5 linked regions of the Rattus norvegicus genome follow. The protein of the gene in region 4 interacts with the protein of the main gene of each other region in a pairwise test. Links are inferred from orthologs where the notes say so. Each region holds a gene or a part of one and is shown on either strand. Other genes may lie near its edges. The genes, in order: Phf1, Car1, Cdc73, Tfcp2 and Zcchc10.

Region 1 (6,325 bases), on a different chromosome or scaffold from region 4:
CTCTTTGGTACAAGAATTGAGATGAGGGGTTGGGAATTTAGCTCAGTGGTAGAGTGCTTGCCTAGCAAGCTCAAGGCCCTGGGTTTGGTCCTCGGCTCAAAAAAAAAAAAAAAAAAAAAAAAAAAAAATTTGAGGCAAGAAGGCGGAAAGGGAAAACAGTTGCAGGTGACAGAGTCTGGAGAAGGGAATGACTGGGTACATCTGAACCGGGTACTGACCTGGGCAGACAGCGGGCGTCTGTGGGCCGGAAGTTGTAGCCGCTGCTGCCCTGGTAGCTCTGGTTAGGGCTGGGGGGTGGTGGAGACTCTGAGGCCTGTAGAAGAAGGCAGAGGGGCTGTGAGATGACCCTTGGCTCCTTCACACACCCCCACCGGTTTGCCCCACGGGATTCCCCTGCCCTTGTACCTGCAGGGCCCTCTGCTCCTGGGACCCATGCCGACTGTGAGCTGCTGTGGGTGGCCCCAGTTCCTCCACTTTCCCCTTCTGCCTCCTCCTCAAGGGTTCTGGCTCCGACTTCCGGCGTTTCCCCAGGGGACGTGAGACCCCTCCCCCAGGGCCCTGCCCTGAAGGGAAGCTGTAAGAGGCCTCCTTATCCCCCCAGCCCCCTCCCAGGCACCCCAAGACCCCCATTTTCTGTACATGTACCCTCCAAACAGATCCTTGAGAATTTCCCCCATCCCCCCTGGACCAGTGACCTGGTGGGGGATCCATCTCCAGTGAGAAGCTCCACAGGAGGAGGGGTCCGAGCATGGAGACCAAAAAGGCATTTCCTCTTTTTAATCTCCCTCCCTGAAATGAAACTGGGACAAGGGGGAAATCCGCAGATCAGGGCAGTTGCCAAGTCCCCTCATCCAGGCTGGCACATCACTCCCTCAGCCTCCCTCTTCCGACTCACCGGTCCTTGTGGCTGTTAAGGGCAGAAAGGAGCTTGGAAGAGCGTTCTCCTTTGGGAGTGTCTGAAAGCTGAAGGAAGAGGGTAAATGGGTCCCAGGGAGCACGCATTCCTTGTTCCAAAAACCCCAGTTCTCAAACTTTAGAACCCTTACCTCCCCCAGGAGCAGACTGTCCCAATTCTCAGAGGTGAAGGGGAGGATCTCTCGGTCAAAATCGAAATATTTCTTCTTACAGCAAACGCTGAGATGGTAGAGAACAAGATGGGCCACATCCACCCTGGAGGAGCATGAGATTGTCAACAGCAGCAGCATTATGGAGTCAGGAGTCATAGAGTAAAATGGCGGAGAGCACCATCCTTCTCACCAGCGAAGCTGTAACCTCCGTACTTTCTCAGGGCCGCCCCGGCACACACAGCATTCAAATTCATAGAATCTGTATATGGGTCAGGACAGAGGGACCTCACTCAACCCTCCAGTACGAGCTGCAGAGGGCTAACTAGTCAGTCGGGAGCGCGGGAGAGAGAGCACCCCAGGCTCCTGTGCAGTCTCCCTGGATCTCACCTGTCTCCGTAAAGGAGGGGCTTGCTCAGACACTGGGTGCAGGCCTCATGGAACCACTGGAGGCAGCTCCGGCATTGCAGCATTTTCAGGTTCCACCTCAAGGGGAAGACAGCGCCATGGCCCTCAGCCTTCTTCAAACCACAGGGCCCCCCCTCACCCTCTTCGCTCCCCTCTGTCCTGGGCTCTACCACCACAAAACACCCATGCCGTGGCTGGCCCTGCTCTTCCTTCACTTACTCCCCCGGGCCCCCGCAGTAACAGTAGCTCTGCTGCCTGTTGCTCAGATGTCCGGCGTCCCAGTCCAGCCCTTTCAGACCGTACGGCAGGGAGAGTTTCATGCCCAGCATGGCCCGGGCATAGGGACCCTTCTTCAGGGCACCTCCCCTCTGCAGAGGAACAGAGGGAAGCCTCAGAGGGCAGGGAAGGAGGAGAGGTCACGGGAGGCTCCCACACAAGCAGGCAGAGAGGTGCCTTTACCTTTGTGGCAATCGCAAAGACACACTGGCGGCAGACCCAGGAGCTGCCCTCTCCTTCTCCAGGGGCTGGGGCCCTGGGGACGTGACAGTCCTGGTGATAGGCTGAATGAGGAGAGAAGGCCACAGAGTGGCCTTTAAGTCCTGACCAGGGCATTTAAGACCGGTCCCGCTGGCAGGTCTCATCCTGACACTCAAGTTGAGTCAACGGGCTTCTAGCAGTTGAGGACCTTGCCCAAGGAAGCTTGGTTAAGAAATGTGAGCGAGCTACGGTAGGCCCTCAGCCTTGTCACCTGCATCCACGCTCCCTCTCCCTGTACTGAGATGAGGTGACAGGGTGAGGACTGGCCCAGGCAGGAGACGTGCGTGACTCACGCTATGAGGGAGGGTAACCCTTCTAGTGGTAACCCAGAAGACCCAGGGCAAACTGCACCCCCTAAACATCCCGCCCTCTCACCATGGCGACACTTCTCACAGCTGACCAGCCGGTTCCCAGGGACCACGGTCTCAGAGCGACACACACAACAGAGGAGCTCCTCACCAGGAAGGGCGGCTGTGAGAGAACAAAGTGTCAGGAGGCCCACTTCAACCCAGCGTCCCCATCGGCTCCAGCTGCTGCAGAGGGAAGCTGTGCTTTGAAGGGTCTCACCTGGGCTGATGTCCTTCCATAGAACTAGAAACTGGGAATCATCCTCAAACTGGACCAGACACACCTCCCGCGCACTGTCCACCTGGAGTGGATGACCAAGACCGTAAAGTGGGGGCAGGAATCAGACCGGCCTGGGAAGGCAGGGGATCAGAGGTGGGCCTCACCTTTTTGATGGTGCCCAAGTACAGGAGCCCATCAGTCCATCTTGCCAGCACATCTTGACCTTCCCAAAGCCGAGGTCTGGGGCCTGAGGTGGGAGCAGGGGAGGCTGGGTCCCAAAGAGAGGGAGCACCCAAACGGCTCAGCCGGGGGAGCTGCGCCATTGCATCCTGGGGTGGGCTATTCTGAAACAGGATGGTTAGAGTTTATGAGCGCTGAGAAAGTGTCCCTGTGTGGGTTGTTTTCTGTTACGGATGAAGAAACCCTGACCCTGACCAGGAATCTCCAACCCCAGTCTCGTAATCCTTTAGAACCCCGAGGAGGCAGGTCGTTCTGGTCAGCTTCTCTACTCCACTCCTTTCCATCTCCCCTGCCTAGCTCCGTAGTATCCCAGCTCCTCCGGACCTCCGGTGGAAAAGATGTTTGCAGAATCAAGGTTACCACTTAGTTTCACCTTTCCCAGCTGTGTAGAGGTAGCCTAACTGGGGCAATCTGTTGCCCGGAGATGTTTTGGGAGCTTTTCTAAAGACGTTAAAGGAGTAGAAACAGCTGCCTCCCCAGGCTTGTGTGTCTTATTTAGAGCCACCATCCTGGTGCCAGGTTATGTTAGGTCACCCTCAAATTTGGGGCTCCTTGACCTGGGATTAGATAACTTCCCTGAGTGCCCCAGGAGGGGGGCGTGTCCCTGTCCAAGTCTCTACTCCCCTACACTGCCAGTCCACGGAGGGACTTGAGTCGCCCCAGCACAGATCCCAAACTGGGACCAGGAGGCTCCCCCAGCCCTTCCTGCGCACCGACCCCCGGTTCCCTGCCCCCCCCCCTCCGGGCCTCCCGCCTTCTCCTTACCGGTGACAGCTGGGGCAGCTGGAAGCCAGGTAGGGGCAGACCCAAGAGATCTGGGTGAGTCCCCGGTGCGGGAAGACTGAGTGTGAGCGCCGAGGGGCGTGCAGGTGGAGGCCAGGGGGGTCCCCGGGCCCAGCCCCTCCGTCCTGGCCGCTCTGGGGCGTATGACGCAGCAGCCAAAGCAGCAGCAGCGGCAGGAGGAGTCGACAGAAGGAGGGAGGAGAGTGGAGGGTGGGGAGCACCAGTGGGAGGAGACGACGGAGGGGCGGGTAGGCAGCACCTCCCTCACCTCCAGTAGGCCCGGAGGGCGCTGCGCTATTGGAGGCGCGGCCGGTCGGGGAGGACGAGGAAATCCCTGTAGCCCCCTTTTCGGATAGGAGGCTTGCTCTGAGGGCAGCAGGAAATAACCTTCTTGGCAGCTAGCCTGCAGGTCAGGGCCGGGCCCCGCCCCATGCCACATCCGTTAGTTGCCCCGCCCCCGTGGCCACTCCAAGCTCCGCCTCCGCACGCGGAACCGCCCTCCTCATTCACGCTTTCTGTTGCCCCGCCCTTCTGCGCACGCGTAGCCCCGCCCGCGCGCCGCACCTGGGCACACAGCCACTCCTCCCGCGGCGAGCACTGGCATGGCCGTGCTCCTCTAGGAGGGAAAGGACCAGAGGCTACTTGGAACTAGTACTGGGGCGGTGACGCGCCCACACCAGCCAATGGGCACTAGGCGGCACGGACCGAACCATGGTTCGAACCGGTGGGCAGGGGAAGTGAGAGATTTAGTTGGTCACAGAGGGCCCGGTGTGGGCACTATGGGCACAACTCCCTGAGCTGAAGGACAGAGGAGAGGCACCAGGGCAGGCAGCAAAGTTAGTGTGTCCCTCCAAGTGAAAGCCCATAGCCTCCCTCACTCTGCAAAACAGGTCAAAATGGACATTTCTACATCTTACGGTATTTACTCACAATACTTCATCTGGCAGCTACCAATATTAATAAAACCATTAAGAGCTGTAACAGGGTCTGGAAAGATGGCTCAGTGGTTAAGAGCACTTACTGATCAGACCCCACATCGATGGTCAAAACTGTCCATAATTCCAGTTCCAGAGGCCCCGAAGCCTCTTCTGAACTTCAAGGAGCAGGAGACATGCACATGGTGCACATGTATATACTCAGGCTAAACAACTGTACACACACAATTTTTTAAATCTAAGATTAAGAAAAAAATTAACCTACACCAAATTTTCTTTATTTGATAGTTGGGTACATAATGTTGTCCACCCAATAAAATCATGTCTCAGCCCCGCCCCACCCCCGTGTTATACATATACACAAAACAGACACGCACACCCGCTTGCACAGGAGCCAGGCTCTGCATCCATCTTCATTTCTTATTAGCCTGAGCAGTGCCGATCACGCACTGGTTCACCTGTGGATGGACCAGTGAATAGGGTTACACGAGATCACTGCTTACAATCCGAAGTCTCCCATTCTGCCCCAATGCTGGGCCCACTGTCTGACTCCCTGAAATAAGGACTACGGCAGCAGGCTCGGCCTGACCCCCTGGAGGGACAGTGGTGCTGTGTCCACTAACCTGGAGGAGACCAGCAGTCTGAAAAGATGATAGAGATATGCCCGCTGGTCATATGTCAGCATGACACAGGCTACTCCTTGCTCGAGAAGAGGGACCAAGCCACAGGGCCTCTTCTTAATTAGTGATTGATGTTGGCGGACCCTACCCTCTCGAGGGCCAGTGCCACCCATGAACAGGTGGGTCCCTAATGAAGTGTGTTATTAGGTGGCTGAGGAAGCGATGAGGAGCAGCAACTCCATTATGGCCTACAGAAGTAACGACCTGACATCCTGACAATGGACTAACCCTTTCTACTCCACGTTGCTTTTGATCATGGTGTTTTAATCACAGGATTAGAAAGCTAACTGAAGACACCTACACGAGGATTACAGCAGCAGAGAGGTCTCCATTTTCAGCAACGCCCTGGACTAGACACCCCAAAGCCCTCCTACAAAACCTATCAGGACATTGAACTCCTTTGAGAACTAGGGCTCCTGAGAAAAAAATATCACAGAAGAGAATTGGAAACAGACTACTAGGTTCAGACCAAAGGACACACGAGCGCTGGGGTTATTATTTAGTGGGAGAGCGCTTGCCCAGCCTAAGCAGACCAGGCAGGAGCTAACTTGAAGGAGCTCATGCCGACCAAGACGGAGCGCTGCTGTGAGGATCAGGAAGGGGAGGTGGAGATGTCAGAGGTCAGGATGTAAGCATCTGTAGCGCCCACCTCCACATAGAAGCCTACGGGCACACATGGAGTCACTCAGGACAGGAACTCAAAAATGAAAACCTATAAAGGGTTCAGCATCTTGAGGCAGAGATGACTCAAGTGTTTAGAAGCACCGGCTCCTACAGAGGACCTGCGTTCAGTTGTTAGCACCTATATGGTGGCTCACAGCCATCCGCTACAGTTCCAGGGAACCCACTGCCCTTTCCTAACCTCCTCGATACCAAGAACAAGTGTGATAAACACCTCCACAGGCAAAACCTTCACATACAACTTTTTTTTGAAACAGGATTTCTCTGTATAGCCCTGGCTGTCCTGGAATACAATCAGGGTAGCCTCAAACTCAGAGATCTGTCTGTCTCTGCCTCCTGGGTGCTGGAATTAAGGGCATGTGCCATCACACCCAGCTAAATATTAATAAATAAATGAACCCATCCATCACCTTGGGGCTGGAGAAAAGGT
Region 2 (5,606 bases), on a different chromosome or scaffold from region 4:
ATCATAGTTCTCAACTAGGTCTCTTCCTGCCCATATGTTTGCATTACTAAAGACATCAACATGTTTTTCTTCACAGAACAGAAGGCTTACACTAGAATGTGATCGGCCTTTAACAGATCTAAAAAGGACTGAGTAATGTCCTTTGCTGAAAGGAAAAGCACCATGTAAACAAAGCAAAGCCAACTGTTGCCAGTGCAAGCAGCAGTTCCATGGTACCTTGTGGTTGGTGGCTTCTACACTTGTCTTGATGCTTCCTGTTCCCAACAGGCAACTGAATGATTCCTGTACTTTGGTGTGTGTCGTTGTTATTAAATTAGCTGTGTTAGCTTATTTACCTTAGTTTTAACTGAGCTTAGGGCATCCAGTACTTTCTGCAGGTTTGGGTTGGCTGGACCAACCTGGAGAATTAAAGGAAAAAGAAAGTATGAGATAGAGATTGTGATTTATAAAATACTCTTTAGTTAAAATTTAAATTTTCAATTAACATCAATAACTGAAGAGAGGAACATGGGATTTTGTTCTGTTCCTAAAGCAGACATTTTTTTTGAGGTACATACCTTTATGGGATCTTGTACTCTGTAAATTTCTCTTCAGGTATAACAAACATAGTAAACTGAAAGCATGACTACATTTAATGGTGAAGGAGATGATGAAAACTATGTAAGACAAACTCTGAATGGATATCAAAACTGTGACTCGAAAGTACATCTTCACTTTTATCTGCTGTTAGTTATACCTAACTCATTTTGATCATATGCTAAATAAATGTTTGACAAAAGTCACCTCCAAATACTGTAATCCAAAAGGTCATGTCATCACCCAGTCTTACCCAGTCCGATGATGACTTTTATCATAGCATCTCTTCAATGATAACACAAATTCAAATGATACATTTCAGGACATTTACCATTTTAAAAATCAAGAGACAGAGGGGTCTACGCACTCATTACTCACCTTCATCAAAACCCCAATGATTGCCAGCCCATCAGCCTTCGAGATGGCTTCAGCAGCACTGGAGTACTTGGCTGAATTCCAGTGAACTAAGTGAAGCTAGAAGAGGGACATGTAAGTAATTGGTTACAAATACTGATGCAAAGGAAAAGATGCACCGTGAGTTACACGCAAATGTGTTATATTTGAAGATATGTCTTGGCACAGGTAGATAAAATTCACCTGGACCCTAAGGGTAACTAACTTTAGGATAAAAGGTGAAACCATTTTCTCTTACATGAGATAACTTTGTAAGAAGCTCTTTGCTTACAAACTTGGGCATATCCGTGTCCTTCCCAGGATCCTTTCAGTCAAATTCTGCTGAAACTCTTGGTGGAATTTTAGGCTTGTACATCAGTGTGTACCTGAGTATGTTCCTGATACTGTCTTGATATCTCCAAGGGAGTGTCTGACAGATCCCTGAAGAGTCACATGGCCAGAGAAAGGCTCAGCTTCTCATGCTACATGTGTTATTTTCTCCTCTTAGAAAGGTAACACCACACACCTAAGTGCTTAATCAAAAAGTACCACAGGTATTACAAATCTCGTAATTTACACATTTATCAGTCTCCATGCTCAGCTGAATATACCATCTCATTTGTTCATATCTTGGGGTTTTGTATTAGCTACTGACTTCCTGGAATTTCCTTCCTTTGCCTCTTCTGAACTCAAATTCCATGCCTCAAATAAATTGATTACCCCATATAAAGTGACTCTCATAACTGAAATCTATTCTTTTCATGCTATTTATCTGATCTCTTATTTCTCTCTACCCCTTTTCTTCCCTTCTTCTTTTCTCCCCCTTCTTTTAAAACCATTTTATTCTTCTACAAAATGTAGATTCTGACTCAGTTACTTTAAAAATAAATATTTAGTATATTATAAAGTCTCAATAAATAGTTGATGAATAAAATACAACAATTAGAGCACTCCTTTTGATAGAGAGCACTCTCCAGCCCTAATTAAAGTGGTGTTTCATTGAAAACTACTCTTCTCATCCGGTGACAATTCTATGTGAGCACCCACACTGCATTGAATCCCATGCTTTCCCCGCTGCAGAAGTGATGATACTGAGCACTTACAATGTAGGAGTTGGCCTAAATGCCTTGTAAGTATTCTCTCAGTAAGTGTACAAGGAGATTAATGCTATAGTACCCAATTGTATAAGTGAGAAGAATTATATAGCCAATAAATGGTTTAGCTTTGACTCCATGAAGGTCGAGGGAGGAGCCTGCACCTGTCACTCATTACCTGCCTACCTCTTGTACCTTCTGTATCACCCATGTGGGTGTTTGAGCTGAATAGTAAATAATACATTGAACTTTGTGACTAAATCTTTCTTGTCATTGGTTTAGTTTATGTTTTCATCAACTTAGTTGAGTGAATAAAGTCTCTGATTTGGATTCCATGAATACTCACAGGTATCCTTTCTAAAGCATAATATTTTAGGCTTCCATTCCATTTTAGTCCAACTTCAGTTTTGTAAAGGGGAAACTAGGACAGAGTTTTTATTTACTTCTGCAACACTGAAAGGCATTACCTAATCTTAAAAAATACCACAAAGCAAGTTATATCTGTATTTATTCCCCCAGCATCTAGTTTTATCACAATAAGCTGCAATATATTTTATAACCTGTTCTATGAAAAATCTCTCTTGTGTAGTTACTTCCATTGGTACTTCAGATACAAGCATAAATTATTAGTTGAAACATTTTTGATAAAAGTAAAAACAACAAAACTCACAGTGGTATATAATAAGCAGATATTATAATTGTTCATCAGAAAGTCTAGTTAAACAAATTCTGATATTCGAGTTCAAACAAATAATAATACTAAGCAGTTAATTTTAAAAGACATGGAATGAAATCTTCTTACTTGGAGAATGATGCTATATTGGTAAGTGGTAAAAAAGCAAGCTTCAAAATCATATATTCATTTTATTAAATTAATGCTAACAAAGCCATCTTAACTATATGTAATCATAGTTATATACACACGTTATGCATTCATATAAATAAGTGAATATTTTATCATTTTTATCTCCACCAAAGGTGAAACTTTTTAGTTTTTCAAAATATATATACTTATATTACTCTCAACATATATATACATACTCTCTCTCTCCCTCTTTCTCCCTCTCTCTCTCTCTCCATATATATATATATATATATATATATATATATATTCCTCCATTGCAATCGTTAAAGTCTAGCTCTGTGATTAAAATCCAGCACGTTCTGCTATGTTACTCCAGTGTTCTTGTCTGTATATATACATGCTACTGGTAAATTTGGGAAGTTAAGTAAATAGAGCTTGTTGGCATGTCCAGTCAAGTCAGAGTCCTAAAAATGATAGAACAATCTTTGAAGCTGGGAAGATGTCAAAGATTTTCATAAACTCTCCTTTACAAGTTAAGATATTTCTTCTTTTTCGGAGCTGGGAAATGAACCCAGGGCCTTGTGCTTGCTAGGCAAGCGCTCTACCACTGAGCTAAATCCCCAACCCCAAGATATTTCTTTCTATAGAAAAATATTCCTCCATTACAAAGTATGGTGTGCTGTGTTTGATTTAATGGATTTAGGCATCCATATAAAAACCAGTGTGGTCTCCCCTTTGAAGCATTCTGATAGTAGCTTCTGTAATACCAGAGATGTTCCACAGGCATTCTCATGAACTATATCTCATTATTATATCACACTACCTCTCCAGAATATTTGGCTCCATCCACGGTGTGTTCAGAGCCATGGTCGTTTGAGTTGCCCCAGTGAAAATGGAACTGGGTGAGCCGATAGCTATCAGCAAGAGGGCCACCTTTCAGCACTAGAAGGAAAGAGAGTTACTGTCAAACCTTTGGTTCATCTTTAATATAAACCAAAGCTGCATCGTATTGTGTGAGATGGAAGCAAGCACAAGTTGGTGCCAAAGTTATGTTTTCATTCTGTTTCCCCACTCCACATCCCTGCTGATGACACTCTTCTATATAGTGTCTTCCTGATTATGGCATAATAATACAGCTCATGATATATCCACAAATCCTAGGAAGGGAACCAAAAAGTTACCTATTTATGTAACCAAAATGACATGTTTCAAACGGAATAAGTTATATGATCAAAGGGCTTTTCTTGGATCTCTATTAATTTACAAGTTTATTCATTCATTAAATTGTACTGTGTGGATAGTAAGTATCAGAGTTTATAGCAATTTCTATTAATTAAATAAATAAACCTCATGGTTTATTATATAATGGTTTATTATATAATTAGTAAAGATATAACAACATAGCCTGAAAAAAATTTGTTGAGAACCTCTTGGCCAGGGTTGAAGTGATACTGCCTATCATGCAAGGCTACTTTAAAAAATTTTGGTCTGAATGACAGTCCAGCCTGGGGAGCCTGTCCAATCATACGATTGCATATGATAGCAATCCCAGCACTAGATCTAACTTAGTGTTAACGCTCCTAAGGTACCTGACATTTAAAATTAGAAACTTGTAGGAAAGCACTGCAAGAATTGCATTTTATCACTGGAACCCTTAGAGAATAAACGTTTAACAGCTTATTCAATAAATACTGATGGCCATGTGGCAAGGAACATGCCAGGCTCTAGGGTATGAGGGGAATCTGTGCATCACCTGTCTCACCATTGCACTCAACTACTCTCACTCTGCTTAGAATATATGCCCTTTTGGTTTCATGATCATAATGATTTGCTCACTATACTCTTTTGAAGAAATGTTACTTATTCAGATATATGAGCACAAAGTTTCTGGAATGGCTGGAATAGGTCAAATGGATTATTAATAAGGGTTAATAAGAATTAAGCTGGGAGCTCTGCAAGGAATCTTCCAAGAAGTCACAACTCCCCCCCCCAAGATATTACAATTATGAGATGCACAAGTGCATGTGCAAAATAATGGTATGCTGTGGAATTTCTGAAGCCCCTCCTGACTCTTATGCCTACTCTTGGGACTCTTTTCCTCCTATTTGGCTGCCTTGTCCAGCCTTGATATGAGGGCTTTTGCCATGTCTTATTGTATCCAGTTTCATTGTTGTTTCTTAGACACCTGCTCTTTTCTAAAGGGAAATGAAGGGGAAGTAGATCTAGGGGAGAAGGGAGGTGGAGAGGATCTGGGAGGAGTAGAGGGAAGGAAAACTGGTCAGGATGTATTGTATAATAAATATATTTTCACTACATGAGCTTCTTAAATGGATGGAACTAGAAAATATCATCCTGAGTGAGGTAACCCAACCACAAAAGAAGACACATAGTATACACTCACTGATAAGTAGATATTAGTCCAAAAACTTGGAATACCTAAGAATAGATTCATAGATTATATGAAGCTCAAGAAAAAGGATGACCAAAATGTGGATGCTTCATTCCTTCTTAGAAGGGAGAACAAAATACTCACGGGAGGAAAGGCAGGGACAAAGAGTGGATCAGGGACTGAAGAAAAGGTCATCCAGAGACTGCTCCACCTGGGGATATGCAGCCACCAAACCCAGTTACTATTGCTGATGCCAAGAAGTCCTTGCTGACAGGAGCCAGATATGGGTGTCTCCTGAGAGGCTCTGCCAGAGCCCTATTGACACAAATGAAGATGACTGCGCCTAACT
Region 3 (5,606 bases), on a different chromosome or scaffold from region 4:
AGAAAACATAGGTACATTTATAACAGTAGCAAAGTTAAGAGTTACGAAGTAGCAACGAAAATTATTTTTTAGTTGGAGGTCACCAGAACAAGAAGAATTGTATTAAAGAGTTGTAGCATTAGGAGGGCTGAGAACCACTTGCTTAGAGTAAAAGTGATAATAGAGGCTAGTAAAGGAGGTTTAGGACAAAATAAAGTGAGCTGTATTTAAATGGATTCCTACAGTTGAACCATCATAAGTAGATGGAGGAGAAAGGAAGGGATTGCAAAGTGGTGTGTGCGTTAGCATTAGAGAACTTGTATCCCCAAGACTACATTACTTGATCACAGTATTTTAGTTTTGCTTTATTGGTTTAGTTTGAGAGATGTTATAAGGATCATCTCCTTGGAGTACATCCTTTTAACTTTCAGAGTATTGTTGAAGATGTTGTATAGCAGTATCTTTTTTAGAATTATAAGATGTATATCTTTTAAGTGCATCCTTAGTAATACCTTCATCTAGTTTGTTTTCTATGATAATCCTTTCCATTGTGCAGCTGGTTGGATTTTTTTTTTTTTATTTTTTCTGTTGACAGAGTCCAGAACTCAAGTCTTATTTTAAAATATGTATACATATTTAGAGTTGGGATTGAGGATGTAGCTCAGTTGGTGTGATGCTTGCTTAGTATGTATGGGTTTCGGCACTTGATCCCCAACACCACATGCAAAGAAATATGGTGGAGTGTACATGCTGTCCTCAGCTGTGTAGCAGAGTTGAGGCTAGCTGGGATACATGAGACCTTGCCTGTCTTTTTTTTTTTTTTTTTTTTCTATTCTTTTTTTTTGGAGCTGGGGACCGAACCCAGGGCCTTGTGCTTGCTAGGCAAGCACTCTATCACTGAGCCAAATCCCCAAACCCGAGACCTTGCCTGTCTTAAATAAAGAAAAGAAAGAGTATATATGGTATTTTAAAGAATGAATTTATGTGCTCTCCCTGTTTTTTTTTTTTCTGCATTTTTTTGTTTACTTTTGCCCAATGACAACTCATTGTGAAAGTTTATACTGCATGTATGTTTTTGCTAGGTTAAATACACTGTTAGATAACCAACTAGATATAGATAAATGAATGCATGTAACTGAGCTCAAATATTTATCTTAATCTTAATAAAAGTCATGCCTTAATTTTAGGACCGGAAAGGAAGGCCAACCCAGAGAATACTACACATTGGATTCTATCCTATTTCTCCTTAATAATGTGCACCTTTCGCATCCTGTTTATGTCCGACGTGCAGCTGTAAGTAGGAGTCATTTTAAAACTATTGATCAAATAGTTATAGATAACTTCACTCATGGGTTTCAAATGTCTGAAATTGTCATGGAGAGTGAAAATTAAACTGCTACGTGATTTATTCAGATTTTTTAGTTGGCAGTTCATTCATGTAAAATATAGGTAACATTTATAACAGAACTTTTTTTTTTTTTCTTTCTTTTTTTCGGGGCTGGGGATCGAACCCAGGACCTTGCACTTCCTAGGCAAGTGCTCTACCACTGAGCCTAATCCCCAACCCCATAACAGAACTTTTAAAAGTGACTACATAGATGTTTCAAAAAATATAAGTAGAAGAACTCTGATAATTCAGAACTATAGTTTAATTTCAAGAAAACTTTTCTTAGTATAAACATATTATAGGAGAAGGCATAAGAATGATATAAATTTAGTACTAAAGTATGAAAATCTCAATAAACCCAACGTAAGCAGATACTTCTTTAGAATTTTAACCAGAACAGTTCTTTTGGTACTTTATTGACAAATGTATTGTTTTTTAGTTTTATCTGCTTTGTCAGTGTTTGAAAATTCATTGTTGAGAGGAAATTATTAGGAATAATTAAAAATATTTCATTTCACAAAGATTGTTATGATGAGGTTCTTCTGCTGGCAAGGGACTGTTAAGTAGGATTCTGAATTATTTGAGTTTGACGTTGCAGCTTGGCATACATGTGCAAATTATGATGGTTCTCCAGATATTTCTCTGGGTATTGGGAGGACACAAGTCTCATGTAGCCCAGGCTGGCCTCTAGCACCTGTCTAATTGAGGATGACCTGAGCTTGTGCTTCTCTTGCCTCTACCCTCTAGTACTGGGATCAGATGTGTCTGCAGTCATGTCCTGTTAATGTGGTATTGGGCACTGAGCCCAGGCTTTCATGCTTGCTAGGCAAGTACTCTTCTTCTGAGAGACGCTGCAGCCCTTTAACTTTTATTAAAAGTGGTCCTCCATCAGATTTCTTGATGGATCAGACATAGAATTACTTTGGAGATACTGATATAATCAAATATCTACTCTAAAAGCTGTTTTAACTTTACTGCATTGTCTTAATTTGAAAGTAGTTCTTTCATTTCTGAATATTCTCAAAACAAACCCATAAAATCTTCATTGTGACTTCCATCACTAGAGATATTTTTTGGCAGCTTAACACTACTGCTGGATTGCATTATGTTGTGTGAAATTTACTCTTACAACCTTTCCTTCTAAGTAGAGATAGTTGAGGCTTTTGAAAAGTAACTTGTTATTTGGACCAGTTGTGAAAGTACCTCATTTATTCTGCTTCAGTAGGACTGTTTTTCTGAGTAAGAAACATATATTCAGTGTTAAATATATGTTTAAAAATCTTAAAGTTGGTAAGTAGTAGGGAAAATTAATAATTGACCATTACATTATTTATTAGATCTTTAAAATCCTAATTAAGCAATAATTAGAATTGTTTGTTAAGTAATTTACGTACTTAGAGCTATAAACATTTCATATATCTATATATTCATGTATGTATATTTATATATACATATATATGTATGTATACATACATAGTTTTGTTTTTTGAGACGTAGTTTTTCTGTTTAGCCCTGGCTCATCGGAAATTCATTCTGTAGACCTGGCTGTCCTGGAACTTAAGAGATTCTCCTGCCTCTGTCTCCTGAGTGCTACCACTGCTCCGCAAGACTATTCTTCGAGTGGCTATAGTTCATAACTTATAGTAACAGTTATTGTGGACTCTAGGACTTACATTTATAGTCATATAAGATATAACCCTTGCTTTACTTAAAATTTCTCCAAATGAAATGGTACAGAGATCTAAAATTCTGCAGCTTTACAGATTAGAGGTTGCTTTTTAAGTTGCCATGTTCCTTGCTCTGTGCTGTGTGCTGACTCTTCCTGGAATAGGTGCTCTGATCTCTGGGGCTTTGTAGAGTCAGTAGACCTGCAGCTTCTCAGGTGGGTCATAATGTGGACATAAACAATACTTAGATGGTTCTGAAATACATGAGTAAGCTTTGAGATAGTAATTTAAAGAATATCAATTCAGGCTGGGTGGTGATAGTACATACTTTAATCTCCGTACTTGGGAGGGAGAGGCAGGGGGATCTTTCTGAGATCAAGGCCTGTCTTGTCTCTAGAGTGAGTTCCAGGACAACTGGGTCTACACAGAGAAAACCCGTCTGGAAAAACCAGAACAAAACCAAAAAGACATTAATTCAGATATGTGTAATGTTCCAGATACACTGGTTAAAAATGACAAGGAAAGAAATACTTGTAGGTTTTAAACTTGTGTACAAATATATATTTATATTTATATTCCTTATATAAATTTTAGATTTTCCATGTATAGCTGAAGAAAAATAAGCGATTTACTTGTTCAGCTAAGTCAGAAAAAAGTATGTGCAAATAATGGGTGTAGTGACTCAGTGGTCATTGTGATGCAATTGGCTAGTGATACTAAGGGTTCTCATCACTTCATTGTTGTTCATAATACTCAACAAAGGTTTTAATCTATGCAATCCCTTAGAAACCAGTTTTTCTTGCACTCTCTTGTTTACATTAGAAAAATGATAAGAAAAATTGTGGTAATGGCAAAAGTCGTTGTCCCAAAGATGACTCGATACCTGCAGTATACATTTTATTTATTTGTTTTAATCTTGAAAAGAATTGCTGGTTTTTTGTTTGTTTGTTTTTTGTTTTTAACTTTAATGTCTACATGTGTCTCTTAAGTACACACGACTGCAGGTACCAGAGAAGGCCAGAGGCATTTAACTCCTTCCCTGAACTGGAGTTAGAGGTGGTTGTGAGCTACCTGTAACTGGGAATGCTAGGACGCAAACTGTGGTCCTCTTAAAGAGCAGAAGGGCTCTGATTGCTGGGCCATCTCCCAGCCCCAATTCCAACCATATGTTTACAAGTAATGATTGTAGGTGGATTAAAGAAAAACTTCATTTTTCTAAATTGATAATGTGTTCACACAAGAACTTTAAAATCTTTTTTCTCTCTATTTGAATTTATATACAGTCTAGGATAAAAAGAAGTGTAGAGGGTTAATCACTACAGTCAACATTTTTATAGTCTATTTTTCTCATTCTTATCAATTATCAAAATATATATTTAGTGGTTTATGTAATTTATTTGGAAGGATTTCAGTTGAATAGTTTGAAGAGGTTTGGTCTGGGTGGAGAAAAGCACTGCAGATACTGTATAAAATGAGACAACATTGAAGCACAAGGCCCTGGGTTCGGTCCCCAGCTCCGAAAAAAAGAACCAAAAAAAAAAAAAAAATGAGACAACATTGAGACTGAAAAAATGTGGCTTCATAAGTGCATAACATCCTGAGTACAGTTAGAGCAGGAAAGCCAAGGGATGAGAGAGAGAGACTGGGATTGGTACATTGCAAAAAGATAAAAGTTATTTTTAACTGTCTCGAATAAATCTTTTTGAAATTTCAGAAGTAAATTATTGAAAATTAACATTTGAGAAATTTTCAAAATTTTGTTTTTAGCAAAACAATTGTGACTTTAAATACAAGTTACCAAGGTATGTTAGATAAATTCAGAGATTATATGGTATTTATCAAGTTTCATAGTTGCTTCTATTCAATGTCTAATTTAAAATTTTGGATTTAGACTGAAAATATTCCTGTGGTTAGAAGACCTGACAGAAAGGATCTCCTTGGATATCTCAATGGGGAAGCATGTGAGTACTAAATTTGCTCTCACTCTTAGATAAGCCTTCCTATGAACATAGATGAAGTGGAAAATTTTGTATTCCAGTAGCTTACCAGTAGCTGTGTCTTTGTGCTTCTTCCTGAAATTGCACAAAGTGTCTCTTTCTAGGTTGTCACTCCCTCGTGTGAGTGCTCTTTGGATACTATCAGAGGCTTTGCCTTTGTACATTAGTATTTCTGTCTTGCTTTGTTTTCTCCTCAATCATTACCTTTTAAAAGAGATGGAGGAGAGATATATGCTTTAAAAGTATTGCTGATTCCACATTTCTACTGTTCCCTTTTTATTACTATTAAAAGGAAGAGTTGACAGACTATCACTGCTTATTCGTTACCTCTTTCTTGAAGTTCCTTCTGCCTAGTTTTCATCCTCACTATCCCCCTGAAGTCAGTGAATTGCCACACCTTTTGGTTTCCTTTTACCCACGTTACCTATGAACATTTGATAGTGTTGGACACTGTCTTCTCTGAAATCCTTCACTTGACATTTGGGACACTAGGCCGTGAGTATTTTTTCCATTTGTTCACCTTTCAGTATGTTTGCTGTTATTGTATGACGTGTTGTCCTCGGGTTTCTATTGCTG
Region 4 (5,606 bases):
GGGGAACACTCCTGCCTTCCTCCACAAACTGGGATTATTAGAAGCATCATCTATCCCATCTTAACGTTTGTGTGTGTGTGTGTGTGTGTGTGTGTGTGTGTGTGTGTGTGTGTGTAAGAGAGAGAGACAGAGAGACACAGAGACACAGAGAGAGACAGACAGACACACGCACAGAGTGTGTATATGTATAGGAATATGAGTTTTTAGATTTTTTTCAAATTAGAAAGCTTTTACAATTGTTCAAATTTAAGTTAAACTAAAAATGTGCAAAAGATAAATAGTTTTGCATGTGTGTGTGCCTATATGTATGAGGTGTATGTATGTATACATACACATGTGTATGAGTATTCAATCACACACAGAGGCCAAATTCATTATCACATGTGCTCCATCGCTCCCGCCTTGTTAAGGCAGGCGGGGTCTCCTTTCCTGGTCCATTGCTCCCCCCCTTGTTGGTAAGGCAGGCTGGGTCTCCTTTCCTGGTCCGGTCCCACCAGGTAGGCTGGCAGAGTTCAAGCCCCAGTGCCCTTCCCACGCTGGGGCTAAGGCATTTGGGGGGGGGGCACATCCTTTTTAACTGAAAATCATGGGTTCTACAATCTGAACTCTGGTCCTCATCTTGTGCAGTAAACACTCATAACTGCTGAGCCACATCTCCCTCTCCAGTTTTTGGCTTTGCCTATTTGGGTTTTTTGTTTTTTTTTTTTTTTTTTGCAGATCATCTCACATGGGTTACATGGGCCTTGAACTTACCACATACCCAGAGATGAACTTGCATTCACTATCTTGCCTAAACTTCTCTGTACTAGGGCTCCAGGGGTGCATTAACACCCCAACCTTACTCTAATTTTTAAGAACTAGTAAGTAAGCAACAACATCTAAGCCAGACACAGTGGTTCATACCAACAGCCCCAGATACCCTGTCAGGATGCTGAGGCAGGAGGATCATGTGAACCCACAAGTGCAGGGTCAGTCAGGCCAAAATAGCAAGACCATTCATCTGTTAAAAAGAATTAAAATTAAACAGCTAACCCTCTGTGTAGAAACACACTCAACCCTGGCAGAACAGCTCTCACACTGCCACAGGCCCTAACAAACTGTGGGCTGGTCATTCAACTGAACGGAGACACTGACCTCATCGCTGATGAGCACATGGATTCCGGTCGGCCCTTGCTTGTAAATCTGGCTGATCTGCTGAGGAGAAATACTGAAAAGCTGAGCAATTTTTTCTGTTAATTCAACAGCTGTCAGCTCCTCTAGATAGATAGCATGGTACACTGCAAAAGAAAGAACAGGAGTCAGTGCAAAGGCGGATTACATCTCTAGAGACTCAGAGACCACACCACCTGCTGCAGATCCTGCCTCAGCTTCCCTTTCTCCATGTGAACCATGTGAACACTTACTCCACAAGCCTAGTCACTCCCTCTTCTAAACGCTGGAGAGGACATGAAAATCTACAGACCATGGATATTACTGGTTTCAATAAGTCAAGCATATAAAAAGTACTGCACATAACATGTATGGATTAGAGTCCTTCTAGAACTCCAGCTAATGCTGTGCTGGTCCCACTCTCACACCAGCCATGAGTCATCTCATCTCCTTTCCGCCTGCTCTGCCCAGAACAACCTACCAAAGAAAGTACCATTTGAATCTCCGTCCTCCTGCTTCTGCTGCGGCTGCGGCTGCTGTGGCTGCTCCCTCAACTGCAACGACTCCTGACAGACATAAATGGTCAGCCTTGGACGCACCATCCTATGTGGAGAAGAAAAAGGACCATCAGCTTTACACAAAGGAAATCTATTAATGCCTGGGCCAAAAGCAAGTTACTCGTTTCCTTATCTCGCAACCGTGGGCTTTGTTGTTTGTTTATGATGACTCGTTGCAACAGGAGGCACCATTTAAGCTTCTAAATTCTGGCCAAGGAGCAGACTGTTGGCCCAGCAAGCTCAAGGCCCTGGGTTCTATTCTCAGCACTAAGAGGGATGGGAGAAGGGGAGAGGGGGAAAAGGGGAGAAGGGGAAGAGTGGGGAGAGAGGGTAAGAGAACACTATTGCTAGCCGAGACCTTGTTCTCCCAAGGCTTCACTAAACCCTAGATTGTCGATCCTTTACAGGATCAAGTAGCTCCTGCGGTCACTGGAGCTTGTGAGCTTTGGAGCAATGGTTAGAAATATCCAAGAAGCAAGAGTAACTGTTTCACATGAGGGTCAGGGTCATAAGCTGTTTACTTACAAATATTACTATATGGTAGGCAAGACGGCTTAGCTGGTAAAGGCTCTTGCCACTAGAATTCAGTTCCTGATATACAGACGCTATGTGCACGTCTGTGTGTGTCCCTGTGTATGTAGGAGGGCACACATCAGTATACAGTGGGGGGAGGGTGGACCAGTTCTCAGAGTTAGGACTTTCCTTTAACCATATGTCTTTACCCACTGATTACAAGTTTCCTTCTAATGTTTTGACAGGACATACTTATTTGGGCAGAGTACTGTGAAAAATTCCTGAACATTAACTCATTTAAAATCCATTCTCATTGGCATCTGAACAGTAGGTACACACCGGCCTTTCAATGCGTTGAAGAGCCGGATTCCATCTGCAGGGCCACAGATTTGGATCACGTCATCTCTAGTTAGTTTCAGTAAGTCTGCCCCTGGGATAAACAGAAACACAGTTAGTGATAAAGGCAAATACTCCAAGACTCCTCAGGATGTGACAGTCATCCCCTCATGAGCAGTATGTTACAGTCTACAGTCTGTTATGTCTACAGCAGATAAAGGCCTGTAGCCTGGCCTCTGCCTCACCTTCTGTCTCGATTCTCAGCCAATTAACTTCTCCACCCAACCCTATGCTTTCAGCCTGACTGTGCTGAACAGGAATTGCTTTCCTGTCTGAAATACCCTTCCACAGTCTGACAGGCTCACACCAGCCCCCTGCAGTCTCACCTCACACACTTCTGTGTGTGCTTATCTAGTGCATTTCCTTCTGACTGGACCTTTCTGTTACATAGATGATGGAAGCCCTCAAAACAGGACATCTTATCAACTATACGTTCCCACACAGATGTTCACAGAAGGCTGCATAAAAGCGTATTGTGTAAGTAATATGTACAGTGGTATCAGGGATGGGTCTATCTGTTCCTTGATAAAGGATCAGATGAAAGACGTCTGTCTGTCTGTGTCCAGAGTCAGGCTGTCCTGGGACTCACTAGGCAGACCCAGCTGGCCTTGAGCTCATACAGACCTGCATCTGCCTCCCACTTAAATGCTGGGATTTGGGGTTGGGGATTTAGCTCAGTGGTAGAGCGCTTGCCTAGCAACCGCAAGGCCCTGGGTTCGGTCCCCAGCTCCGAAAAAAAGAAAAAGAAAAAAAAATGCTGGGATTTGAGGTGTGTGCCACCAAACCACATTTAAGAGTGCTATATAGAAAAAAACATTTAAAAGCTTAAATGAGTTCCAATGAAAAGCTGCTTCCTTTAAGGACTCATAGGACCATTACAGCTGGCTGAGAAGTCTGAAATGTTCCCCGACACATTCCATGTGGGACACTGAGAGGACCTGAGACGCACATGAACACCCCATGCTGGAGAAGGCTGAAGGAAAAGGTAATCTAACCTGAGAAGTTGGTGAAAAGCCTCGTGAACGTGGAAAACCGGTTTCGATGCAGCCACTGCTGGGCTTCCTGAGGCGTGGTTGTTGGCAAGAGGTTCTGAAGGAAGAATGCATTCTTTGGTATGTGAGTAGATTCATCTGCTACCTCACTGGAAAACACACAACCACTTCCTCCTTCCACACTCCACAGTCACACTAGCTAGTGGCTCCGAACTGTTTCTATCACACAGGGTCTTCTCCACCCACAAGAGATACTTCACTATCAGACTGAAAGCTCTTTCTGTTCAAGGATCAAACCGGGTAGTGGCAGCTATGTGAGAAGTCACACTACACAGACTGGGAAACAAATGAGAGCCTCAGGAAAGAGGAGGAGGAGGAGGAAAAGGAGTGACACTTCGTGCGTTTGGAACCCTGTGCAGGAAGGCAGAGGTGGGACAGCCACTGAATGTGTCCTAAGTCAGCCCGGGCTGCACAGTGAAGCCTATAAACAACAAACAAAATACCTCAAGGTCCTGCCTGTTTCTAGTCCTTCGTACATCTCCAGGTCAGAGATGAAATTCAGGAAGCATTTGTGAAGTGAGTGTGACAGAATCAGTCACCACAACAGCCCTCCTACACACTACAGATAACTGACATTGGCTCTAGACTTACGTCCGTGACTGGAGGGGGTGGCTCTGGCTGGTGGTTGGGCGAGCCGTTTCTAAGGAGAGACAGTGAAGATGAAGGGTGAGTTCAGGGCACTCTGTGTATGTCACCTCATGATTCATTGTCATGATAACTCTCAAGTTAGAGAGCTCAGAGAATTCTCTACTGTGTCTGAAAACACTCTTCTTTGACCCAATACTTAAGCCGTGTGCTAATTAACTCAGAGACTTCAGGGGAAGGGAAGAAACTATGTCATTTGAAATGTATTTTAAAAACTGAGGATGGGGAAGCCCATATAGAAGGGGAGGGGAAGGGGTTAGGGGGATGTTGGCCCGGAAACGGGGAAGGGGAATAACAATCGAAATGTAAATAAGAAATACTCAAGTTAATAAAGATAAAAAAAAGCAAAAAACCAAAAAAACCCTGAGGATCACAATTTCAATAAATAGAAACTGACAGAGTAAATTATAAGTTATCACCGGCGTAATAAATCTCTGCGGGGAGAGAAGGAGTTCAGGTTACATAAACATTTGCCTAGGATGCATGAGGCTCTCAGTTCAAAAAGAAAAAAGATACTGGAATATAAACGTCCTAGTACATATCACTCTCATATTAAACATATCAACAGTCTCGTGTACTTAAGATTTAGAAGAAAATGTGCACTGTGATCATACCCTGGGCTGCACAGGATCGCTCACACCTTTAACACCAGCACTTTGGGAGGCAGCGGCAGGTGGATCTCTGTTGTAAAAGTATAAAAGGGCTTTTTTTATCCTGAGCCAGTGCTGGCACCGTAGGACCACATGGCATCTGCGGGATATTTTCATCTCAGTCTCATCATCTAAGCTCCATCCCATCTCATACTGCCCACGACTACTCTCTGAGCCCGGGCAGCAATCTTTAGCAATCTCCCATCTAGTTCCCAAGGCGGGTCGATGCCACCCCAGTTTCATACAGAGACCGCCTATCTTGTGAGGCTCTCTTACTGTGGACTCAATTAAGTCGCCACAAGAAAGAATACAGCACACAATAACCTCTGATCCAATTGATTAGATATACTTTGCCCATCTAGACAGCACAAAATCCTGTACACACCCATCCCTTAAGAACAGTCCTAACAACCTGTGTCTGTGCGCAGAGAAGAATCCTAACATCTGCCACCATGTTGTCTCAGCTGCGTTCTCTCGCTCCTGCCTCCTCTGCCTCTCTAAAACTTTTCTCCCACCCATCCTTCCTTCTCATCCAATGACAGGATACCTTCACCTGCATAATGACATCAACCTACACATCTCTAGGAGTTCAAGGCCCACCTGGTCGACATAGCCAGTTCCAGGGAAGTCAAGGCTACATAATG
Region 5 (5,606 bases), on a different chromosome or scaffold from region 4:
TGTGCAAGCACTCTGCACCTCATACAATTTCACTGTTTTCTTTTTCTTCTTTGAGACAAGGTCTCATGTAGCCCAGGCTAGGCCTGAACTCACCTATTCCCTGATGGATGGCGCTGGATGGAACTCAGAACCCTGTGCATGCTGGGCAAGCACTCTGCAAACGGAGCCATATCTCAGCCCACGTTCTACCTTGTACCTTAAAGGTTTTCAAAACGAGTTTCTGCTTCTTGATTAGGAAAATAGGTTGATCCTGTCACAGACACATTCACCACACAGAACCACCACAGGCCTGCAGACATGTTGTTTCACTCTAGCCAATCTCATGAGAGAATTTTAGTTCAAAGTCTGCAGTGCTGTGTATACTCCTACTTCTGCCGTACACAGAAGGCGATTCTATTAGCCGAGAGCAGGCAGTGCCTTGGGTTTTTTATTTTTACTTTTAATATTTATTCTTTTTTTTTTTTTTTTTTTGGTTTTCTTTTTTCTTTCGGAGCTGGGGACCGAACCCAGGTCCTTGTGCTTGCTAGGCAAGTGCTCTACCACTGAGCTAAATCCCCAACCCCATTTATTATATATAAGTACACTGTAGCTGTCTTCAGACACACCAGAAGAGGGCATCAGATCTCATTACAGATGGTTGTGAGCCACCATGTGGTTGCTGGGAATTGAACTCAGGACCTCTGGAAGAGCAGCTGGTGCTCTTACCTGCTGAGCCACCTCTCCAGCCCCCATTGCCTTGTTTTGTGAGAGATCACAATACAGAAAAGCTTTCAGTGGTGTGTCAAACCCTAGACCATCCTCACTGTCTAGACATCAGCCCTGGCAGGGCTGAATAATTAGTTAATTCCAGACAAGGTCTACCTACCCAACTCCAGATAACATGGATTTAGTTGTCCAGACTGGTTGGACCATGAAGTCATAGAAATCTACCTGCTTCTGCCTCTTGAGTGCTGAAATTAAAGGTGTGAGCTATAATACTGGCTGGGTAGATATTTATTGTTAGAATCTGGCGAAGTTTATTAACTCAGTTTCTAACTTTAATTTTTACATTCATTCTTCAGAAACATGACTTACCAAAAAGATCAAGTTTTGATACAGAAAAGCCACAAAAGTATCTATTATATATAACACACACAAGCAAGTGTGTACACACACACACACACACAGACACATGGGGGAGGGGAGAGAGGGAGAGGGGAGGGGGAGAGCATGTGTGGTACTGGGGGTGGAGGGCTCATACATGCACTTGACCACTTAGCTGTATCCTTGGCCTACTGTGAGAATACTTGTTCTTCCTTTTGCTCTCCATCCCCACACAGCCCTATCGACTTTCACATTTCATGTGTCCCATACCTGCCCTGCTCCTATCTCTTAATCCTCCCCACCCCTAGGGGTGATTCCATTTGCTTGCTATGGAGCAGCAGCAATGAGCATGGCAGCTAAAATACCTCTGTGGTGGGATTAGGGCCATTTGGTTAGAGGCCCAGAATACTGTAAGTAGGTCATATGGCCATTCTAGTTAGGTTTTTTTTTTTGTTGTTTTTTTACTTTTAGAGCCCATATTGATTTCCATAGTAGCCAAAGCACCAGTTTACACTCTCATCAATAGTGAATAAGGCTTCTCTTTATCCAAGGATAATCCTTGCCAGCTTTTGTTGGCCATTCTGCATTTCTCTGATGGCTAAGGATGTTGGGCACTTTTAAAAAAAAATCCATTAGCCATTTGTATTTCTTTGTCACTATTAAATTCCTTAGTCCAAATTTTAAAATTGGGTTGTTTTCTTGTGTAGTGATTTTAGTTCTTTGCACACTCTAAGTATCAGTTCTTAGCAGGCAAAGATCCTGGCCCAGTTGATAGGCTGTTATTTTGGTTTTTTCCCCCCCCACTCATCTAGTGATTTCCTTTACTGTCCAAAAGATTTTTAGCTTTACAAAGTCTTTCTTGTCAATTTGAGAGGGAGATATTTTTGAAGATAGGATGTCACTATATAACACTGTCTGGCCTCAAAAGAAGAGACCTACCTGCCTCTGCCTTATATTAAAGATCGGACCACCAAACCTGACTGTTTTTTAACTTTGGAGACAGTCCAGGCTTGCTTTGACATATACTATGTAGCCAAGGATGACCCTGATGCTCCTACTCCATAAATGCTAGGATTACAGGTGTACACACCCACACTTAGCTTAAGTGGATGAGACTGAAATGCTCAGTGTCTTCTGAACTTGAAAACATGGGAATCCAGTCAGGAGTATTATCTAGGGACAATTCACTCTTATCCCTTCCTGTCCAGTGTAGGAATTAAGCTGTAAATTCTGCACGGTAACTAATTATATAAGCCTGGTTCACTGGCCATGTGAGGATTTCCCTGTTGTAAGAATGGGACCAGTGCCTGTAGGTCATCATCTTTCACCATTCTCAATAGGATCTTTTTAAATGAAAATCTTGTTCCGCTGTCCTTATTTATTCTTTGGGTGGGACTAAGGGCCTCTCCACATTCTTAATTTATAATAAAGGGTAGGGGAGGAGAAAGTCAAAAAAGAAAACCAATAGGCAAGTTCTTACAGATTTCTTTTTGGAAAAAAGCATGCATTGATTCCATGATCTATTATTTTTTTTAAATTTAATTTGTGTGTGTGTGTGTGTGTGTGTGTGTGCACGCTTGTACATATGTGAGCACAAATAGGTTAATAATAGCTACCTTACTAGTAGAGATTTGAGGTTTAAGTATGCTAGTACTTATAAAGAGCATGCACAGGGCCCAGACAGAGTAACCATTCATTAAAAATCAGCCGATAGTATTATAAGCTGGATGTGGCAGCGGTGCACACCTGTAATCCCAGCACTCAGGAGACTGAGACGGGAAAACTGCAAACTGAGACAGGAGGACAGCCTGAGCTACATAGCGAGAAGGTCTCCAAAGCCCAGAATGAACAAAAGTATCAGCTAGCATTATAATGAAACTTTCAGCCCCTTAACCGACTCTGCAAAGGATTCTGTAAGGCCCCTGAATACCACAGGTAAACCTACCTTTGCTGCAGTAATCTATTTTCTTTTTCTTTTAAAGCTTTCTTCAGCTCTGCTGTTCTCGAAGGCCTATGTAGGTACTTTCTTTTCCCTTTGCATTCATAAGTCCAATGTCCAAATTCCAAGCATTTCTGACATCTTACGTGTTGCTTATTGGCTTCACTACAAAGAAAAAAGAGAACACAACAAACCTTGGAAGTTTTGTCTTGGGGCACTGTCTGACCTAAAAGAGCAGAAAGTATCAAGCAATGTTTACCGTAGTCTGCAAAGCTACTTAAGTGACCAATGCATGCAGCTTGGGGTTCAACAGAAGGAGCTGAGTCTTGCTCTTCTTTTCTTTCTTTTTTTTTTTTGGAGCTGGGGACTGAACCCAGGGCCTTGCGCTTGCTAGGCAAACGCTCTACCACTGAGCTAAATCCCCAACCCCGAGACTTGCTCTTCTTTTTTTTTTTTTTTTGGTTCTTTTTTTTTTTTCCGGAGCTGGGGACCGAACCCAGGGCCTTGCGCTTCCTAGGCAAGCGCTCTAACCACTGAGCTAAATCCCCAACCCTGGCCCGAGTCTTGCTCTTCTAAGCCCAGCACCGAATATCATGCTTATACTCCTCACTTTCATGCCGAAGTAGGAGGATGGCTCTGAGTTCAAAGTCAGCCTGAGCTGCAGAGCGACCCCGTGTTTCAGCAAAGCAAAACAAACAACAAAAATTCTAAGTTTTCCCATCCCAGCAATGATGTATTTGGACCAACATTTTTAGCTCAGAATATAAAGGATAATAAAGATTTTTATTTTCTTTGCAAAATGCTAGATATTAAACTCAGAGCCTCCTTCCTGAATTGTCTACTACTAAGGCAGACCTCTAACCTGTTAAAACACCTTTAAGGCTGGGAAATAGCTCAGGTGTTTGCTGTAAGCCCAAAGACCTGAGCTGCATCCCTAGGTCTGTGTAGTGGAAGGAGGAGAACTGACCCCAACAAGTTGTCCTCTACTCCTATACACGCGCAAATAAAAAAGGTTATTTGTTTGGTTGATTCTGCAGCTGTAGACCAGGCTGGCCTTGAACTCATAGATCTGCCTCTGCTATCACTTTTTTACTTACTCATGAAAAATGGTGGCAGTGCGATAACTCAGTGGGTTAAGGCACTTGCCACACGATACTAGGATTAAAAGTGTGAGCCACTACAACCACCTTGTACTTTAATAAAATAGTCCTTGAGCTTCCAAACAAACAAACAAACAAACAAACAAACAGAAAAACCCAAACTTTATCTATTAATAAATTTTATGAGTAAGACCCTTCTGCAATACAGGTCACATTTTTTGGAGCACCAAAGCACCACAAAGGGGAAATTTTAGACCTGTCACATAACAGGCTACAGTCCAAAACCAAGCATATTTAGAGTTGGAGAAACGGTTTAACAGTTAAGCACTTGCTGCTACTGCAAAGGATAAATGGTTTGGTTCCCAGATTCCATCCGGCGACTTATAACCATCTCTCCCTCCAGTTCCAAGGGGTCTGACACCCTCTTTTGACTTCCGAGGGCACCAGGGACACACATGCTGTAGAGATGACAAGCAGCCAAAGCACTCACACACATAAAATAGCTTTTAAAAAATGTTTCTAGGGGTTGGGGATTTAGCTCAGTGGTAGAGCGCTTGCCTAGCAAACGCAAGGCCCTGGGTTTGGTCCCCAGCTCCGAAAAAAAGAAAAAAAAAAATGTTTCTAAAGACTGGCACATAGAGAGGGATTGTCGGGCTTTGTGGTGAAACTTTTGCTTGGCGTACGTTACTCCTCGGTTCAGCCTTTGGAAATATTATATAAAGAAGAAAGTTAAGCTATTTTAAAGCTAGACACAGTGCACTCCTGTAATCCCAGGATCCTGAGGGGTGAGGCAGGACTGAGAACAGAGTGAAATGGAGATCTGTGGTAAACAAAACGGATGGGACAGGGAATATGATGGATGACCAGCCAGAAACCAAAAATACACAATGGAACTGTATACTAAATCTAAGAAAAATATTTAGCAAAGATGAAGATAAACCTGTTAAGAAAAGCAATACAGGCCTGGTGAGATGGCTCAGCGGTTAAGAGCACTGACTGCTCTCCCAGAGGTCCTGAGTTCAATTCCCAGCAATCACATGGTGACTCACAACCATCTGTAACAGGATCTGTTGCCTTCTTCTGGTGTGTGTGAATAAAGTGATTAAATAAATCTTAAAGAAAGGAAGAAAAAAAAAGAAAGAAAGAAAGAAAAGCAATACAAGTGTAGGCCTTTAATCCTACCACTCAGGAGGCTGAGGCAGGAGGATCTCTATGAGGTCAGCCTGGAGAAACCCTGTCTTGAAAAACCAAAAGGAGAAGCAATATGAAACAAGGAAAGACTCATGACTTTTTTTTTTAAAGATTTATTTATTTTATTTATATATTAGTACACTGTAGTTCTCTTCAGACACTTCAGAAGAGGGCATCAGATCCCATTACAGATGGTTGTGAGCCACCGTGTGGTTGCTGGGAATTGAACTCAGGACCTCTGGAAGAGCAGTCAGTGCTCTTAACCACTGAGCCACCTCTCCAGCCCGACTCAT

The links.
Region 1: the proteins of Tfcp2 (region 4) and Phf1 interact in binary tests that used the Homo sapiens proteins (3 or more experiments, as listed by UniProt). The two-hybrid records come from large-scale screens. The link is inferred for Rattus norvegicus from reciprocal best matches to the Homo sapiens genes TFCP2 and PHF1.
Region 2: the proteins of Tfcp2 (region 4) and Car1 interact in binary tests that used the Homo sapiens proteins (3 or more experiments, as listed by UniProt). The two-hybrid records come from large-scale screens. The link is inferred for Rattus norvegicus from reciprocal best matches to the Homo sapiens genes TFCP2 and CA1.
Region 3: the proteins of Tfcp2 (region 4) and Cdc73 interact in binary tests that used the Homo sapiens proteins (3 or more experiments, as listed by UniProt). The two-hybrid records come from large-scale screens. The link is inferred for Rattus norvegicus from reciprocal best matches to the Homo sapiens genes TFCP2 and CDC73.
Region 5: the proteins of Tfcp2 (region 4) and Zcchc10 interact in binary tests that used the Homo sapiens proteins (3 or more experiments, as listed by UniProt). The two-hybrid records come from large-scale screens. The link is inferred for Rattus norvegicus from reciprocal best matches to the Homo sapiens genes TFCP2 and ZCCHC10.

What each region holds. Positions count from the first base shown.
Region 1 is NC_086038.1:5,017,433-5,023,757, reverse strand, and holds the start of Phf1 (PHD finger protein 1), read right to left. Parts: upstream 3,784-6,325; 5' UTR 3,582-3,783; intron 2,921-3,581; coding exon of another isoform or gene 2,900-2,920; coding exon 2,741-2,899; intron 2,659-2,740; coding exon 2,577-2,658; intron 2,481-2,576; coding exon 2,385-2,480; intron 2,033-2,384; coding exon 1,932-2,032; intron 1,841-1,931; coding exon 1,692-1,840; intron 1,551-1,691; coding exon 1,455-1,550; intron 1,327-1,454; coding exon 1,258-1,326; intron 1,171-1,257; coding exon 1,047-1,170; intron 964-1,046; coding exon 896-963; intron 801-895; coding exon 696-800; intron 575-695; coding exon 406-574; intron 314-405; coding exon 219-313; intron 1-218. Other genes in the region: kinesin-like protein KIFC1, read right to left, coding at 4,948-4,992. UniProt on the Homo sapiens protein: Polycomb group (PcG) that specifically binds histone H3 trimethylated at 'Lys-36' (H3K36me3) and recruits the PRC2 complex. Involved in DNA damage response and is recruited at double-strand breaks (DSBs).
Region 2 is NC_086020.1:88,584,367-88,589,972, reverse strand, and holds part of Car1 (carbonic anhydrase 1), read right to left. Parts: intron 3,811-5,606; coding exon 3,692-3,810; intron 1,051-3,691; coding exon 955-1,050; intron 399-954; coding exon 336-398; intron 1-335. UniProt on the Homo sapiens protein: Catalyzes the reversible hydration of carbon dioxide. Can hydrate cyanamide to urea.
Region 3 is NC_086031.1:57,992,456-57,998,061, reverse strand, and holds part of Cdc73 (parafibromin), read left to right. Parts: intron 1-1,166; coding exon 1,167-1,272; intron 1,273-4,924; coding exon 4,925-4,994; intron 4,995-5,550; exon of another isoform or gene 5,551-5,606.
Region 4 is NC_086025.1:133,502,397-133,508,002, forward strand, and holds part of Tfcp2 (alpha-globin transcription factor CP2), read right to left. Parts: intron 5,063-5,606; coding exon of another isoform or gene 4,921-5,062; exon of another isoform or gene 4,308-4,920; coding exon 4,259-4,307; intron 3,705-4,258; coding exon 3,611-3,704; intron 2,650-3,610; coding exon 2,559-2,649; intron 1,753-2,558; coding exon 1,643-1,752; coding exon of another isoform or gene 1,631-1,642; intron 1,278-1,630; coding exon 1,135-1,277; intron 1-1,134.
Region 5 is NC_086028.1:37,973,075-37,978,680, reverse strand, and holds part of Zcchc10 (zinc finger CCHC domain-containing protein 10), read right to left. Parts: intron 3,188-5,606; coding exon 3,029-3,187; intron 1-3,028.